Linked DNA regions of Oryzias latipes. The protein of the gene in region 1 binds, or shares a complex with, the protein of each later gene. Links are inferred from orthologs where the notes say so. Each region holds a gene or a part of one and is shown in the gene's direction. Other genes may lie near its edges.

Evidence for each region.
Region 2: papd5 (region 1) and zcchc7 share a complex: the UniProt entries of both Homo sapiens proteins name them as parts of the nucleolar TRAMP-like complex. The link is inferred for Oryzias latipes from reciprocal best matches to the Homo sapiens genes TENT4B and ZCCHC7.

Annotation. Positions count from the first base shown.
Region 1 is NC_019861.2:30,427,968-30,436,811, reverse strand, and holds part of papd5 (non-canonical poly(A) RNA polymerase PAPD5), read left to right. Parts: intron 1-174; coding exon 175-221; intron 222-4,732; coding exon 4,733-4,853; intron 4,854-5,201; coding exon 5,202-5,309; intron 5,310-5,494; coding exon 5,495-5,623; intron 5,624-5,880; coding exon 5,881-6,094; intron 6,095-6,179; coding exon 6,180-6,306; intron 6,307-6,397; coding exon 6,398-6,501; intron 6,502-6,573; coding exon 6,574-6,782; intron 6,783-6,861; coding exon 6,862-7,008; intron 7,009-7,093; coding exon 7,094-7,249; 3' UTR 7,250-8,844. UniProt on the Homo sapiens protein: Terminal nucleotidyltransferase that catalyzes preferentially the transfer of ATP and GTP on RNA 3' poly(A) tail creating a heterogeneous 3' poly(A) tail leading to mRNAs stabilization by protecting mRNAs from active deadenylation.
Region 2 is NC_019859.2:12,833,954-12,842,797, forward strand, and holds the end of zcchc7 (zinc finger CCHC domain-containing protein 7), read left to right. Parts: intron 1-3,218; coding exon 3,219-3,314; intron 3,315-4,209; coding exon 4,210-4,327; intron 4,328-5,292; coding exon 5,293-5,882; 3' UTR 5,883-6,543; downstream 6,544-8,844. Other genes in the region: pgm2 (phosphoglucomutase-2), read left to right, coding at 8,530-8,604.

The DNA of each region.
Region 1 (8,844 bases):
TTACTTTTGTTGCTTAGCATTTCTTCATTTTTATAATTTGGTTAGGTTAAGGTGTATTTAAAGTTTGAAGGAGATTAAAAAATTACAAAATGAATAAAGTAAAGAATTTTTTTCCCCCTTAAATGAAAATTAAATACTGTTGGTTTATCAACTGTGATTTTTTTCTTTCTTTAGGTTCAGGTGTTTGGGAGTTTCAGCACTGGTCTTTATCTGCCAACAAGGTAAGCGTTGTTGGTTTCTGAATGAATCCATACATTTGAAACTAACTATATTTTTGCTTACCTTTTAATATTAACAAGAGTGGTTGCATGCCGTCTTCTTTATGAGTCTAAAACACGCAAAGTAATGCAGACTGAAGGAAAAAAAGTTTCTTTTATTTTCTTTACTGAAGGGATGCAACTATATGCTTTCCTCCTGGTTCGGTTCAAACCTCAGAGCTTGAGTCACCGTTTTGTTTTGGATATATGATTTGTGTATTACAAAATAACTTTTTTTAATTTGATATCAATGAAAAAAAAGTTCAGTTAGTTTTTATTCAGCCTGTCATAATGTAGAAGACAATAATAAATGCGTATGCAGAAGAGAAATATTTTTTCTCTTTCATGGCATCTGTAGTTTACTGTTAGTCATGCAGTAAAACAGAGGAAATTTAACACGTTTTAGCTTCTTTTCCTGGATGTTGTAGTCAATGAATATTGTAGTTGAGTCACATTCTTGGTAAATTTGGTCAGCTATAGTGAGATTAGGGCCCAAATCCACTTAAAAAGTCAAGCTGAGGTAAAACTGTAGCTTGACCAATGGCACACTGGGAGCAGTTTTGTTAAATGTAGAAAGCACTGGATAGGACTCCTTCTACACCAGGGGTCTCAAACTTGCGGCCCGCTGATTGTTTGCAGCCCCCAAGACGATATTTTGTGGCCCCCGCCTTAATATGAAAGTTTAATGTTAACGCGTCCCGCCCGTCTGTATGAATGACACTTTTTCAGTGTTGTGACGAACTAACCAATCACAGTGGGGTATATGACTCTTGGGGGCGTGACATTGACCGGGCTTGAAAGCAGGGTAACATTTAAGGCAGGACACCTGACAGCCCCCTCCCCGGACCACATTAAGGAGTTCCTTACTTTCCTTTTTAGAACGTATTTATTCGCTCGGGAGATGAAGTCGAATCTGCAGCGAGACTGAAGGAGAACAGGAAGTTGGCGTTGTCCTTAACGTTCAATTTTGTTTTAATATGCCTCTCCCCCTCAGTATGATCTGATTATTATGTCTTTTATATTAATCTCACTGTTTTGTAATGTATGTAGCCTTTTTTTTTAAATCAATAGGTATTTAAAATGATTTTAATTGATCACTCAACTAGAAAAACCGTCAGGACACGTTTCCCATAATGCACCATTTTGTAGTCATTTGGCGGCTTGTGGTCAGCACGGTACAAAATTTCCAGTTGCGTTCGCTTAAGTTGGGCCTTGCTCCCGCCCCTTTCTGGTGATATTTTTGTGATGACTGACAGGTGACGTTGGGGCAAAAACATGTTGCACACCAGGTGATCTGTGCAGCGTTTCGTCCACCTGGGTGATCTCAAACACGCTGATTGTGCATCTTGGCTGCACATATTTGGTGACGCCAACATAAATTTCCATCCGCTTTTGAGCTTTTCTCTGATCTCAGGTATTGGTAATGATTGTTCTGATCTCCAGTAAACAGCACCCGTTCTTTTAGGAACCACGGTTTGAATTCAGTATAAAACTATAGGAATGTTTGACCGGCTGCTCTACAATAACTTGTGACTAGGGTTTAAATGCGCTAAAAGTCATAAGAAAGAAAATCTAAAAATGGTCACTGAATTTTGTTTTACCTTTACTGATTTGTGGTTTAAAGAGTAAACTTTAAAATAAAAAAATTCAACATAGACTCAAAATTGGGAGCACATACTCTCTGACTTCTCCACCTTAAATTTCAATAAGCCAAAGTACAGTCCAGATTTACTGACGATCATCTTGGATCACACTGAGGGTCTCAGCTGTTTGGGAGGAAGTGCTGCCAAGTGTCCGGCAGTGAGAAGTAGACAGAGGAGCCGTGTACAGAAGAACCCATTGATGGACGTTACAGAACTGTAAAAAGTCTTCTTATGGGTTTAATAGTTATAATTCAACAGTGTTAACTGAAGTGTGTTAAAAAGGACATTCTAAATAAACAGAAATGTTTTATTGATTTATTTACTTATTGATTTTTTATTCACGTATTTCATTTGAATGAGAGTTTTAAAAGGACATTTTGTACAGAAAACAGTTAATAATAGAGTATAGTTAATAGTATAGTATATGTTCCATAAAAATTTGTCTCTTACACTCACAAGTTGCGTGTGTGTGAAGTTGCGGCCCTCCCATAGCTAGACCCTGCCTTCTGTGGCCCCCAGGTAAATTGAGTTTGAGACCCCTGTAGTACACAAGAAGTGTGCATGTGGCAGCAAAGACACTGCCGTGTTCAATGGCTTCTGCTACACCTTGCAAATGCGTTCAGTACCCCTAAACAGGGAAACATGTTCGTCTCCGCCTCATTTGACGGAATTGTAAACACAAGGATACTGCAGCCACAGTGGTGCATTCACTGCAACACTGCAACCCCCCCGAAGAAAAAAACACTGAGTAAAGCTGCATCTAGGGTTGTGCCGATGGACGATATCATCGTCCATCGTGATGGGTGACTGACATCCCGATGGAGAGACCACCATCGTGATGCCACGCCCCCGCCACGTTGCGCGTCGACACCATAAGCCGCGGTTACATGTACAAAATATCTTGATGGGATCAATGGTCAGATTAGAATCCAACCGTGTACATGGGCCCAGAAAAATGTTTTCAGAATATAAAAACGTTCACTAAGGTCACACTTTCCGTCGGAATAAATCATTCGCACATGCGCAGTAGGGTTTGAAAACCGGAAGGATATAAATTCCGCCGAGCGGCTTTTTTTTTTCAAACTTTATTGAATGTAACAATTCAATACAAAACAATGTTAACAGCGCCGAGCGGCTATATACATTGACATGTCAGCTCGGTAAAATACGAGATGATCTTCTAAACGTGCTTTTAATAATGTTACGGTTATTATGAAACACCTGTTCGCTCATCATTTGAATTTTAATCCGTGTGGTCAGTGCTTTTTCTGAACGAAGCCAGGATTAGCCGTATGCTAACACGGGCTAACAACATTAGCTTTGGGTGGTGCTGCTCGCTGGCTGCACGTAAACATGTAAGAATAACATCAGCCTTTATTTAGTCGGGACACGACTGGAAACACAAATCCGCGTGATTGTTTGAATGTTTTCTAAGGACTGAGCGACATTTCTGCTTTGATGCTCAAACCGCTGTGTGTGCTGACGATCCGAGCTGTGCTCAGACAAACACTTTTAGACCCGGTTCTGAGTTCGGTTGCTTGTACCCCTAGAGCTGCGGGACGGATCGCAGTCTTAAATCTCCCACACATAGCGCTCATGTAACAAAGCACCACCCCCCCCCCCCTTCCCCTCAAACACAAAGCTGTAAGTCCGCGCTCCGCCGGTCCACTTCACTAGCGAAGTGCGGGAGCGGACTACTTCTTTTCTATTTTGTTTGTTACTTTTTTTGTTAAAGTCACTTCCCTCAGTTTATACGGGATCATCGCGGATTAGTCATTAGTTGGAAAATAAAACTAAAAAAACGAATAGCAGTTATATAAGAACGAAAAATGTAAAAATACCCCCCCCCCCCCCCCCCCCGACGATGTCATCGTCCATCCCGATGGTTGACAGCAAACATCGTCAACGGCCAATTTAAGGGACATCGCCCAACCCTAGCTGCATCTAAAAAAAAAAAAACCTTCACTCCCAGGCTTCCAGGTTTAAATGTTAACATGAAGTTTGCCCTTAATGTTAAATGCATCAATAAAAAATGGGCTTTACACCTGAAGACTAATATAACTTGATCCCACCCGTACTACAAGCAGTTTAGGCCCTTTCAGAAGGTAGTGTGTCGGCACGGAAGGGAAAGGGCAATCTAACCTGTTATCATTCGCAGTACCGTGAATGTTTTGTTTTACTGTGCTCTCACTGAGTGGATGTTAGTCTGATTTCAATTGAGGAGGATGTTGATGAGGAGTCTTCAGGACTCTTGACATCATTCTGGCCCACTATTTAGACCTGTTTGCAGTTGACTGCATGGTGTGCTGTTCTTACTATAGAAATGTGTTTATTAATCTCTTCAAGGTTACCAAGTCCACAAGATCTTTACTGTGCAATCTAACCATCGGTTCTGCCTTTTTAGAATTCCATTTAGTGAACACACTGGAGATATTGTTGATTAATTTGATGCTTTCGGCCCTTCCTGTTTATTAGAAGCTACTCATTTCCCATAACAGAACAGTCTGCAGTTATCCGAAGGCTTGTAATAAATAAAGGTCCCAAGTTACAGAGATATATTTATGTTAAAGGTATTACATGGAAGAAGCACTTTTTAAAATTTATCCTTCTTCCCAAATATTATTCACTAAAGTTGGATTGGTGAACAATTATTTATTAAGCTTACATTATGAAAGTATTCCACAGTTATTTCAGATGCAAAATGTTTTCTAGATTTTATCCTGAGATTTCTTTTAAATGTAAGATAAATGACCATACCATAGGTTCGCTGTGTGAAATGTTTGTTATTCAAACAAAAAAAAACCATAATTTTTCTTTTTCTTTACTCACCAGTGACATTGACCTGGTAGTTTTCGGTAAGTGGGAGACTCTCCCGCTTTGGACGTTGGAAGAGGCTCTTCGGAAGAGAAATGTTGCGGATAAGAGCGCGATTAAGGTCTTGGATAAAGCAACGGTAAAACTGAACTCACCCAAAGACTCATATTTGTATTGATTGATTCTTAATGCATGTTTTTATTTTTAAGTATATTTTTATTAAGTTTTTAAGTGGCAGAAAGTAAATAAAGTTTGAATTTTAAAACCGGTAGTTTAATTGATTTTAGTGCTGGGATTTTCTTTTAAATATAATTTTTACCACTCATTTCATCAAATTAATGCTCTTTTATGTGAAGCAGTAATTTAGACTTTAAAATTGTAATGTAAATGAAATGCCTGTTCAAGATTTTGTTTATATTTTATGAAGTTTATTTTAATTGAGCACTTGTCAGAGTCTGTGTCAGGACTAATTCTGCTTTTTTTTTAGGTTCCCATCATTAAACTGACTGACTCTGTCACTGAAGTCAAAGTGGACATCAGCTTCAACGTGGAAAGTGGCGTCAAAGCTGCTCGGCTCATCAAGGAATTCAAAGAGGTGACCTAAAGTTTACAGAAAGAGAGCAAGAAATCTTAATGCATGACAAAAATGATTTATTAGTTTTGAAAAAAATGTAAGGCATTTAATTAAAATTAGGAATATAGACTACCATGTTTTTATTTTTGAAGTGTGTCCCTTAAACCTTTAGCTGATCCAGAGTCTTTAATCTCCCTTCATTGCAGAAGTACCCCGTGTTGCCTTACCTGGTTCTGGTGCTGAAGCAGTTTCTTCTACAAAGAGACCTTAATGAGGTTTTTACCGGGGGCATCGGCTCCTACAGTCTCTTTCTCATGGCTGTCAGCTTCCTGCAGGTTAGTTCAGCAAGCAACGCTTCGGAAGCGATGACGGTTTCCTCAGCATCAGTGTTTCATCACCAGAATGAAAATGTGTCCTGAAGCTGCTTAAAAACAAGATTTTCTGTGTTTTAAAGATTTGGTTTTTTTTCCAACCTAAAAAAAACGGCAACACCGAAAATGTCAGAATATGGCTGCAAAATATGACCCAGGGTCTTGCAGAAACACTGATTACTGTCCTGACATTAAGTCTAAATCCGTTTCTTTGTTTGTAGCTTCACTTCAGGGAGGACGTGTGCAGCCCCAACATCAACATCGGTGTGCTGCTGATTGAATTCTTCGAACTGTACGGTCGCCACTTCAACTACCTGAAAACGGGCATCCGGATAAAAGACGGCGGTTCTTATGTGGCCAAAGATGAGGTCCAGAAGAACATGATGGATGGATACAGGCCGTCTATGCTCTACATTGAGGACCCTCTGCAGCCAGGTGATACTGTTAACAACAAACACACGTTTGAAATAGGAATCTGGGTATTAAAGCAGCGTGTTTGTTGTTTCTTTGTGCCACATAGACAATGATGTCGGCAGGAGCTCCTACGGTGCCATGCAGGTGAAGCAGGCCTTTGAATACGCCTTTGTGGTGCTCCACCATGCTGTATCACAGATTGCCAAGTGCTATCCCAATAACGAAAGTGAGAGGTAAGGAGAGCGATGTTATTGTGGTCTTTGTAGAGACTAGCTGTTAGTTGACTCAAACTAAGACGTGTTTAACTCGATTCCTTCATTGTAGCATACTTGGCCGGATAATCCGGGTGACCAAGGAAGTGGACGAGTACAGGGAATGGATCCGAAATAACTGGGGCAACTCATCGCAGATTGATCTGCCTCTTAATAGTAGGTTTATACTTTTTTGAAACTTTATTTACTTTTTGTCACAGTAAAGACATCAGCTGCTTCTCTTTGTAGAAAACGATGTGAAGCTGTTGGATCCCCAGCAGCTGGATGAGCGCAACAACAACGTTCCAGACGACGAGGTGGTTGTTGTTCTGCCACTAGCTCCTCGCAGCAAAACGTTCTCCAACACGTCGTCTCCACCCCCCTCCCTGCGTTCGTCTCACTCCTCCTCCCCTCTGTCCCCGCCATCCACGTCCCCAACGTCTACCTCCAGCGATGCGGTGAGTTACCTGAGCTGCACACGGAACTCCAGGTGTGTTAAAGGGGGATTTCGTTAATAGGAAAAACGGTTTTCTCCAGGACTCTGACGGCACACCGTGTAAGACGGCCAAGCAGCAGCCCGGTCGAGGCCCTGGCACTCTCAGAGAAAAGCCGGCTGTGGCCACTAATCACCGCACACAGAATCAATCTACCATCACTCCAACCACAGGCAACAAAGGAGGAAAGGTGTGCTCAGCGTAAACCCAGTTTAATAACCATACGTGCTGGTGGTTTGATCATATATATTAAATATTATGTTTCAAATTTCCAGGCCCGGATGTCTCGTGCCCACCACAATAATGGTCACCAAGGGCAGCAGAACTCAACCAAAACCACAAATAATCCTAAAAACAAGCTGGTTCACCAGGGCAATAGCAAGAAGAGGAAAAATGTACGGGACTCCACACAAGAGGATCTCTACAGATAGGGGTTACTTTGTTCTGCAACTCCTCCAACCCCTCGATACCTTCTTCTCATAAAGGTTTTACTTCTCCCTCTGGATGTTATTGGTGGTTTCAGAACACCTGAGGACTCCGGTGACCCTTTTCAGGGTGACAAATATTGCTTTCTTACTGAGGAAAAACAAAAAAAAACCTTATTGGCAGTGGGAACCATATTTTTGGACCTAAACTGTAACTAAGAGTGAATACTCCATTGCTTCCCATCGGCTTCATTTATGGAGCCCTTTTAATTCCCGCAGCCAGGCTCCTGCACCCCCTGCTGTTCAGGACGAGGCCAGGACCAAGCACCTGGAACTGACTCTGCTCCGGAGCAAAAACCTGGAACTGCAAACCAGATCACCAATTTGATTTTCCCGCCCTCACAAAAAAAAAGAAAAAAAATGAGGAAAAAGACAAAAAAAAATATTTTAATGTACAAAAAAGGAAAAATGTCAAACACTTATACAATTTTTTTATGATGCTACTTACAAATGCAATCAGTGAGAGTGGGAATTAAGTTATGCATGATATTTTTCTTCTGTTGAATTTCTCTGTGAATCCGTTTTGTCGAGTTCTACAAAAACATTTGTACAATGCTTAAAGAAAATTGTTGCACATATGAGGAGACAAGAAAAAAAAACGATTTCATAGGACCTTTTTACGACCTCACTGGATAAAAGTCACTTAAACACACGCGACGCGTCTTATGACGGCTGCTGTTTGGACCAATCAGCAGCTGGTTCGGGTCCCCATTGCCAACAGAAATCATCAGCATTTATTTTTACTTCAGGTTCATCTGAGCGTGTTGACAGCTAGCTTTGAGTGAGGCAGAGCTCACACCACCCACCCATAGATAACAGAAATGAGCTTTGTACTCTTTAAGTAGCACAACCACATCAGTATAGAAGCTTGAAGGTCGAAACCTATTGGTGGTGGTAATGATTTTATTAAAAATCCTAAACTTGAAATGTGTTAGCAATTGGTCTGTGGGAGATAATCTGTTTATTTAGGAATTTACCAACTGCAGAATCATTTGTATTTGTTAAATGTATTTATTTTTTTATTAATTACATGGACATAGTACGGATAAATGTATTATTAATATTGTATCTCATATCTGAGTCCTATATTTTAAGATGGGATCATTTGGAGCTGAGGTTGGATAGAAAAAGATATATTCAGGAACAGGTAAAAATGATCTTTTTATTCGTTCTACTAGTTGAGTGACCAAGTTACCTTTGAAAATTGAAGAGACCATTTTATAAGCACGTGGAATCCTTTTTGCTTTACTATTAGGCAGGTCTACTTACTCAAAAAGGGATTTTTGTTCTTTTCTTGGTAGCTTTGTTGTACCTATCTTGGGTAAAAAAAACGGTCACAACAAACATCTCAAGTGTTGCAGTACAACAACTGGCCTGTAGATGGAGCCCTTGTTCCATGTTTATACGGCACGTGGCTGGTTAAGATCAGTGATTGACTGTTATTACGCTCATTTTTCCACTTAGTTGGCTTTTTTGCACACAGAAAACCTGTTAAGATTAATAAATATCAGAGGGAGCAGCACACCAAAGCACAGTTGAAA
Region 2 (8,844 bases), on another chromosome or scaffold:
AATGCTCTGATGAAAAATCAAGAAAAGCCTAACAAAGTTTAACTTTCTTGAAAATTAAGATGTAGTTTGTGTTAAATTAGAAAATAACCAGATAAGAGAGTTGGATTTATTTTATTTTTTTACTGATTTAAGTCTTCTATTTAAGTTCACATTTCTGGGATTTTGTATTTAAATATCTTAGAAAGCATTTAGAAATTTTTAGTCTTGTAAGAGTTTGCTTTTTAAAGTGTAAGTATATGTCAAGTCCTTAATTGTTTAATTAAAAAATTCAGTTTTTGTGTGTTAAAAAAAGCTAATAAACAAAATGAACAAAGTAAATAATATTGTTGATTTAAATGAGAAATGGCTTAATTTGCTTTAACACAAGTTTAATAAAACAGAACTTTACAAATTATTTAAAAAATCAACAATCTCTGACATATCCGTCACTTCCATCCTTTTTTTATTTTTTTATACATATTTTTTAACTGCCATGATAGTTTGAAGAAATATACAAACAATGACAAATAAAAAGTTTTTTGGCAATTTTTAGATTTCTGCTACTCTGGTCGTACTTTTTGCTACTCTTTTGAATAAAGATCCATGTTAGTGAAATAAAGATCACGTTAAAATCTTAAGGTTCTAACATGCATTTGGATGAAAACATTCTCTAATTTGCCACAGAAAAAAAAAAAAACATTCATCAAGAAGAATAGATGACCACCAGATGGCGCAGTGACAGTTTGGGTAGCAGAGGTCAGGAAAGAGACAAACAGAAACAGAGAAACGAAGAGAGAAACCAATGTCAGTGTTAAATTCAAAACCGTTTTTTTTAAAAACCCTTTTCTGTTGATTTTAAAGTCAACAAAAGAAATATAATAAACATAATCAACGTCCATGTTGCAAGGTTGCATGTTTTTGCAATCTCTTGGTATTTCTGCAACTTACAATGGCTTTCTTTCATACACAACTTGTTTGTGTGTTTGCTAATACTGTATACAATGCCATTCCATGCACTACATTTGAATAGAATGTCATCTGATGACTACTGCTCAAACATATCTAAAGGTTTGACTGGTGCACTAACTCTAAAGCTCTTCAGCATGCAGGAAAACTGCAGAACAAACACACTTTTGGTTGATTGTGCAGAGAAACTGATAATGAACATCCGGTTCAGAAAGACCGTCTGAGGCTGCTGGTGTGTTTTATCAGTGTTGTACAGCTTTAGTAGCACCGTCTGCAACATGGTGTAAGATGAGGATTTTGTTGCTCCACTACATTTGGAATTGATTTATTTCAAACAGAAAATCCTAAAGACAAACAAAAGAAATGTATCCCTATAAATAGATTTGTCAACTTTAGCTGATCATTAAGGACTTGATTGTAAAATTAATAATGTAGAAGAAAAAGAAATACACATACACATGTATGTGCATGCACATGTCCATTATGCCATTATAATGACCTTTGATCAGAAATAGACATGTTCTACTAATACATGACCCACTGAATCCATTAAATGCGAAATTTTGGTTTTCATTCTGTTGTTGTCAAAGAATCCGTTGGAATGTTTTAGCTTGTAGTTTTAGCAACACTAGCTTTAGGTTTTCTTGTGTTTAAATTACTTTCTAGCATTAAGGCAGCTCTTGTTTCTTTTGTTTTTACCTTTACTGAAAAATATCTGAATTTTTAGAACTTTTTGGGGTCATTTTGAAATCAATTCTATGGGACGGATCTTTTTCAATGAAGTATATTACGCTTTTATTTCAGTGTTTACAACTATTCTGTTTAACCGTGATTATTTAAAAAATGAATTTTAAACTTGAGGTATTTCTGTCATGTTGCCAAAAACTGGCAGCTTCTCAGCAGGAAGGTGTGACTGTAGAAACTTTTTTACTGTTAATTTAAAAAAAACAAAATTCTTCGCTAGGACACTGATCAGTGGCACTTAATTTGACAAATGAGCCTCTGAGACTCTTTTTGGCAGGGAAATGATTTGTTTTTCAGCAGACGTTGGAAAAACTCCAAGTTGAGGTGTTCTCCCCAGGCTTGACCTTGTTTATAATCCTGTGAATGGGCTCCACGAGGGCGAGACCATAAAGAGGGATAAAGGTTTCTCCATTTAATTAATATTGAAAGAGGCAGATAACTCCTTGTTCGCACATGCTTTCAGACACACATTCATGCCAGGTTCTTACACCCAGATCTCAGGTTGATGAAAGAACACGCTGGGATTTAATTTCTCCTTTTTTTCCCCTCTTCTGTGCTTCAAAATCAGCGTCTGTGTGCTGGATCAGACTGTGTGGAGATAAGGCAAGCCCAAGGTCAGGGAGGAAGAGGCAGAGGAAGACCTACAGCCAATTTACATGAAAGATGAATGGGAAGAGGGGTAGGAAGGGTGGCGATTGGGGGGCCTGAGACTGGGACTGTGATCTCCTTAGGGGTGCACATGTGTGCGTGTATGAGTGAATGTGTGCGTACGTCGGGGTGTGCGCTTGCAGGAGGTCTGTGATCTCCTGGCCTTTGTGATGGAGATGGGCCCGGCAGGCCTGACCCGATAATGACGCGGTGCTCTAATAACATTCATCCCTTCTACTGCAAAACTACTCAAGCGGAAAAGAGAAGGCGAGAAGGGGGGGGGCAAGTCTGTTGGTTTGCATCGGGGGGGTTGTACACAGCAAAGAGGGGAGGCAGGTGGGAGGAGAGGTAAGCTAAGTAATGTTTAAGAAATGACGTTGAGCACAAATCTTTTGTAATCTTGGAAACAGGCCTGAGAGGAAGGAGGAGCCACTCCAGACAGGAGTGTGAAGGTGTGTGGAGCTTTGTGCATGTGTTGTCGTGAATGCTGGTAGAAGTGCGTGCGTGCGTGTGTGTGTGTGTGAGACATTAGGAGTAAATGCTCGGTGCCTCAGTCCCTTTTCTCTCTTTATCAGTGTATATTTGCTGTGGGCACTGAAGCATGGAAGTCCTTTAGAACGCTGGCCTAAAGAGGAGTCTGTGTCCAACACACACACATGCACACACACTGTTACTTATCATAGAGGTTCATTACAGGTCTCAAATCACACCTTTGTAATCACCTCATTCTATCAACATCCATCCTTATCAATGGGGAGCATTGGAATGGCGACAGAAGCGAGGAGGGATGGAAGAATAAACCCCTTCGTTTTGTTTGATGCACATTTCTACTTTAGACTTATAAAAATGCAATTAACCCCTTTTTGTTTTTTTGTCCTTAGACTGAAAATGGCCCCCCAGTAAAGAAGCAAGCGGAAGATATGGGTCGGTCTCCTGCTTACTGCTACAACTGCTCCAAGAAGGGACACTTTGGCTACGTACGAATCTCATATGCTCACACTTTACAAGTGTTTCTTTTATGTTTTAGTCAAAAACATGATATCTGGAAGAAAGCAGGGAGTAAAATATATTAATAAATAACCTTTATACAAACAATTCTTTTTGAAAGCACAAAAATATAAATGGCTGAAAATATTGCTTCACACAGTTAAAGGGGGGAAAAAAGAGGAAAAAAACAAGCAGCAGCCTTTGTTTGTTTAACATGAACACAATATTGAAGTATATGACTTGTGCTTAAGTTAGACCATTTAAGACCCACTACAGTGAAAAATTGTGTTTTTTGGTGTTTTTAACATGTTCCTTTGGCATTTTACTGATGATGGAGGACATATGTAAAAGAGTTGAGCTTAAAATGACATTTCTGAGTATTCCATTATTCAAATTGTTGTGAATCTGGAGCAGCTGAAGAAATGCTATTGAAAAAAGCTCGTAGATGTGACGTAGAAGCTACCACGGCAAGCCACTAGCTCCCTGCTCCGCTCCATTCTGATGCAGACAAATAGAAAACAAAGACGTACAGGGATCTCTCAGATGCCATTTCGCCATTTTTGTTTCACCGGTAATGATACTTTGGGGGTGTGAGGGGCTGTAAGCCAGCCAGCAGGAGAGCGTGCTAACAGATGGATGAGGGGAAGCACCAACAGTCCCGCCCACAACTCGGAAGCGAATTTCTGATTAACTCCTGCCGCTCTGTAGAAACTATGTCCTACAAATGTACAGGTTTTTAGATTTTGGCTAAAAACAGCATAATCATTATTTTAAAAAAAACACTCGGAACACTTTTACAACAACTCAAAAGATGATCGGAGTGGGACTTTAAAAACCCAGGTATAATATTCTTCTGCTTTAGTTTTTTTGTTTGTTTTTTTCCAGGCCTGTACAAAACAGAGAATGTTTAAGGGGGTTTTTCCCACCATCCCATTCGTCAACCATTACGACACATTGAAGGAAATTAACCGCAGGCAACACAGGATAAAACTAAAAACTCAAGGTAAGTTACTAATTCCTTCCCAGGCTTTATTTATCTTTATTTAGCAATAATGCTTAAATTAACTTGTTTTTAGCTCAGATTTTTTATTGCAAGATTTTCCTCATCATTATATTGTATTTGACTGTGAGATGTTTGTCATATAAAGAAACGTCAATATATCTTTTATAAAAAAGTTACATTTCAAACTTTTGTTTTTTACATTTATACATACTTAAGACCATTTGTCATCTAAATGTATACTTGGCTTAATTAAAAGGGTGCAGGGTGTAGCCAGTACAGCCACGAAGCTCCTCAGAGAGGTCGGGGTCAGAGGACAGGCTTATAGACAGGCCATTAAGGAGCTGACCAACACAGCTGAGAGGGCAAGCCATTGGCTGTGGCTGAGGAGGAGTGACATCACCTGGACGGCAACAATGACTAAATAACAGCGGGGGACAGTGGCAGGCCTACCTCTGAAGAGGGGTACACAGCTGACAACGTGTCCTGCTGTAGAAACCTCACGGAACTCCAAAGAACCAAAACTCAGTAGTTGGAGTGGTACAATATTAGGGATTTTAACAACTAGTCCTATCAAAACAACCATAAATTAAAGATGGATACCTTTATTTCTTTTGATGGACCTAAAATTGTTCTTTTTTTTATATTCCAAAGGTAACTTAAAAATACAAAATAATAGGGTAACATGGGTAAACAGTTTGAAACATTTTGTCAAAGTAAAAGGTTTACAATTACTTTGTTACTTGGGATTTTTGAGATTTTGCTCTTTTGTTGTCGAGCTAGGACAAAAATGCTTTTTTTTATTTGCAGTGAGAATACTCGTATTCTTTGTGAAATATTCAATTTTTTCATGAAGTGATGGTTTTCTCCTTATTTCCACATGCCAAATGTAGGCTAATCGCCTTCACGAGTGTCTCTGCATCAGCAAATAGTACTAACCTCATTCTTTCTTTTTCTATTTTTATCAGAAATGCGGAAAAACAGCAGCTTCCCCAGACCTTCTCAGACTCCTTCCACCCTCACAGCACCTAAAAAGAAACCGAAAATCAACACCCAGACGAACAATACGCCTTACCAAACCCCAAAGCCAATCCACAAGTCCAATCCTAACCATATATTTTTTAAGGATGAAGAGCTCAGAGATGAAACACCCACAACAAAAAAGTTCAGGGATGGGGGTGGCAGTGCTAAACAGTGGAAGCCCAAGAGACCTGTGCCCTCCTCCAGAAACCCACTACCACCTGCTAAACCCGTTTTAGATGAAGAAGATGACTTTCCGAGAGGAGGAAGGCCAAAAAAGGATGCAGAGGAGAGAAGGAAGATGAAAAAGAAAAATAAGATGAAGCGGATTCACTCATCTCTGACAGAGGGACATCAAGGAAAGCGACGCGACTGTCCTAGGTGGACCGTGGGAGAGAACAGATGGAGGCCGCCATCAACAAAACCAAAAGCAGAGCAAAAGAAAAACGGGAAAAAATTTTCCCAGAAAAAACTGAACACACAGTACCCAACAGATGAAGACCTGTTTAGCATCAAGCAGCGCAAACGCAGCAGATAGCATCAGTGGGGTGCCCACAAGGGCCGTTTTCATCCCACACTCAGTGTTGTCACTCAGGTTTCAGCAGAAGAGCTGTAGTCAACATTAGGCTTTTAGAGCCTTTTCCCACAAATTCACACGGTGATTCATGCCTAGATCACACTAGCAGGAACAGAACTGGAAGCTTTTTGTAGTATTGAAATGCAAATAGACGTAATTTAGCTTCAGATGATGTTTTTGTCATTTTTACAGTGGAAACATTTTCTGTGAAGACAATGTGCATTAGTGGCTGGCAAAGAGAAACGTCAAACAGCTTAAGTCGACATTGTGTTCTGATGAAAAGTTTCTTAGTGGTTTGTTCTTTGTTCAAATTTAACCCATAATATTTTTTAAAACAGGTCTTGAGCTGTACGACAAAGAAACACCTTTGCTACTGTTACAAGAACAGGATAGTAAATCTTTTTAAAAAGCTTTTGGTAATGTCATTTTGATGGAAAGAAAGTCTTCTTTATCTAAATTCATTGTAAGTCATCTTAATGAGTAATTACAGAATAAATATGCATATTACTGGAGATGTTTGTGATGCTGATTAACAGTTACAAAAGGAGTTTTAGTTAGCATGTGCCACTGACAGTTGACATGATTTCTTCTTTGTATTCAAAAAATAAATTCTAAAATCTTGCGATGGAAATCAAAATAATTATTTTTAGCCGTTCCATCAGTGGGAAAACTAAAATTAGAAGCTGTGCTGGTAGACTTAAGTATTCAGGGTTTATTTAGACTAAACTTTTTGTTCTTTGTGTTATGGCTTGTGGTTTAACGTTTTTATTTTTTTATGCCGACAGCAGTAAATAAAAACAGAACTATATCCTCTTAAGTCTCTACCCCAAAGGCGGGTTAAACCAGAGAGGAGTTTCCCTGCAGAGTATGGCACGTTGTTAAAAAAGGAAGGACCAGAGAACGAGCTGGAACTCAGCTGCAGATTGTTTTTGTCGATCATTAGGTCCTCAAACATTAGAACTCCCAAATAGTTTTTAATGTTGGGTAATGGAAAATGTTTGCCATCATGACTACCTGTTTAAGCTAAAGAATCTGGCAGGTTTTTATTTTTGGTCTACCATAATATGACTGAGAAGATTAGTAAAAGTAAGTCAGTCTGCAGACTTTTAGTTTTACTCAAAGCAGAATGTAAAATACTTGAAGTGAGATAAGTTGACATGTATTTTTTAGCTTTTTTTCCCCCCTTCTCTGGACCTGTTAGTAATTCTGTTTGCAACAAAAATACTTTTTGAAGGCATTTCAAGGTAAATTAAAGAAATCTGAATTTGTCATTTTTATTTAATGACATTTAAAGAAAATGTTTACAAGCAAACTTAAACTTTTGCATATGATTATATATATTGATCGTCATTGGCATATTTTTAAAAGATCCTTCTACTAGAATATTTTTTCTAACAGCTTGATTGTTCATTTTTGTTCATGTTTTCTGTCAAAATATTAGAACATTTATCCCCTATACACGTATTTGACCACACTCATTACATGCTACATAAGATTATAGGGGTTTGATTGTTTGCTTTCAACTTAAAGAAACACTTTTTCTTTAGAAGTAAAACATGTAGTTGAAGGTCCCTGATGAGGGCACAATTGAATTATTACAGTGGTTTTTATTTTAGCTTAGCTTGGACAACATTGCGAAAACAACTGATTCTAAGTTATTAGGACAAAACAGACTTTATATTATGATAACAAATTTCGGCACCATTACTAGTTTTTGAAAAAAGTGATTTTAAAGGTTTACTGTAGATGAATTATAAACGGTTTTGGCGTACCCCACATTTTTAGACAATTTGACCTTAAGTCGAACCTTTCCTCCTCCCACATTTAAGCTGCTTCTTGCTGTGATCCCTCTTTCAATGAAGTCTAATTGTAATGAAGCTGCATTCACGTGTAACCATTTAGCAGACACATTTCTCAAAAATAGACTGGGCCACACAAGTTTAATTAAACTGAAGGAAATCGGGGGCTAAATGTCCTTTCAAAGGACACAGAAGTTTTGAACTGTGGCCTAACCGACTGACTCATCACTGTTCAATTCAGTTTGCGTTGAATTTCTTTTCCAAATAGTTTTATATGAGTTTCTTTTAATCTATTTCTTTTAAATAACAATTGAAAGACACAGGCAGAGTCCAGTAGATGGCCTTTGGTTATGCAGTTGCAGATAACTTTTTTTCATAATCATTTACTTTTTATAGATTTTGTATACTTTCACCATGTATAGCTTGTCAAAGGACATTGAAGTAGCTCACTGAGGTTGTAAATGCTAAATTAACATGCCTTTATCTACGAATTAAAGTTTTTATAAAAAATATAAATTTATCTAAATTCATCTTCCTTAGAACACAAAAAAGTCAGAGAAATGTAACACCCAGTTTTACGACAGTCCACGAACGCCGCAAGTGACGCATGCGTGTCGCAAACCTCGCGGCCTCTACAAGCAGTCATTGGTCGCAGCTGGTTGCCTGTCTGCTGTGGCTCGGAAGTGGAGTCAGGTGCCGTCATCCCCGGCTGCTGGAGAGCTGAAAAATCATTTTAGAGGAGAACTTTAAGCTTCTAAGAACTTACAGAAATAAACTGGAAATCGCCTGGAGCCGAACTAAGAAGAGACATGCAGAACGATTTGGTTCCCACCGGTGACACTAAACTGGACCAGGCTGTCCAGCTATGGTTGCAGTATGACAAGGTAACCTGACAGCTAGCCTGCAGTGCTAGCTCTCTGTTTTCACTGCTTTACACCTTACGGCGTTTACAGCAGGTCTGTAACGTCCGTTCAAACAGGGAAAATCCTCGCTGACTAGCGTTAGCTAAGCTAGCTAACAACAAAATGTTTTTTTTTAAGAAATGTGTTGCTTTGTTGTTGCAAACTCGATTTAGCTGATGAGTGTTCAACAATGTCTCGCTTTTATTTCAGTAACTACATTTT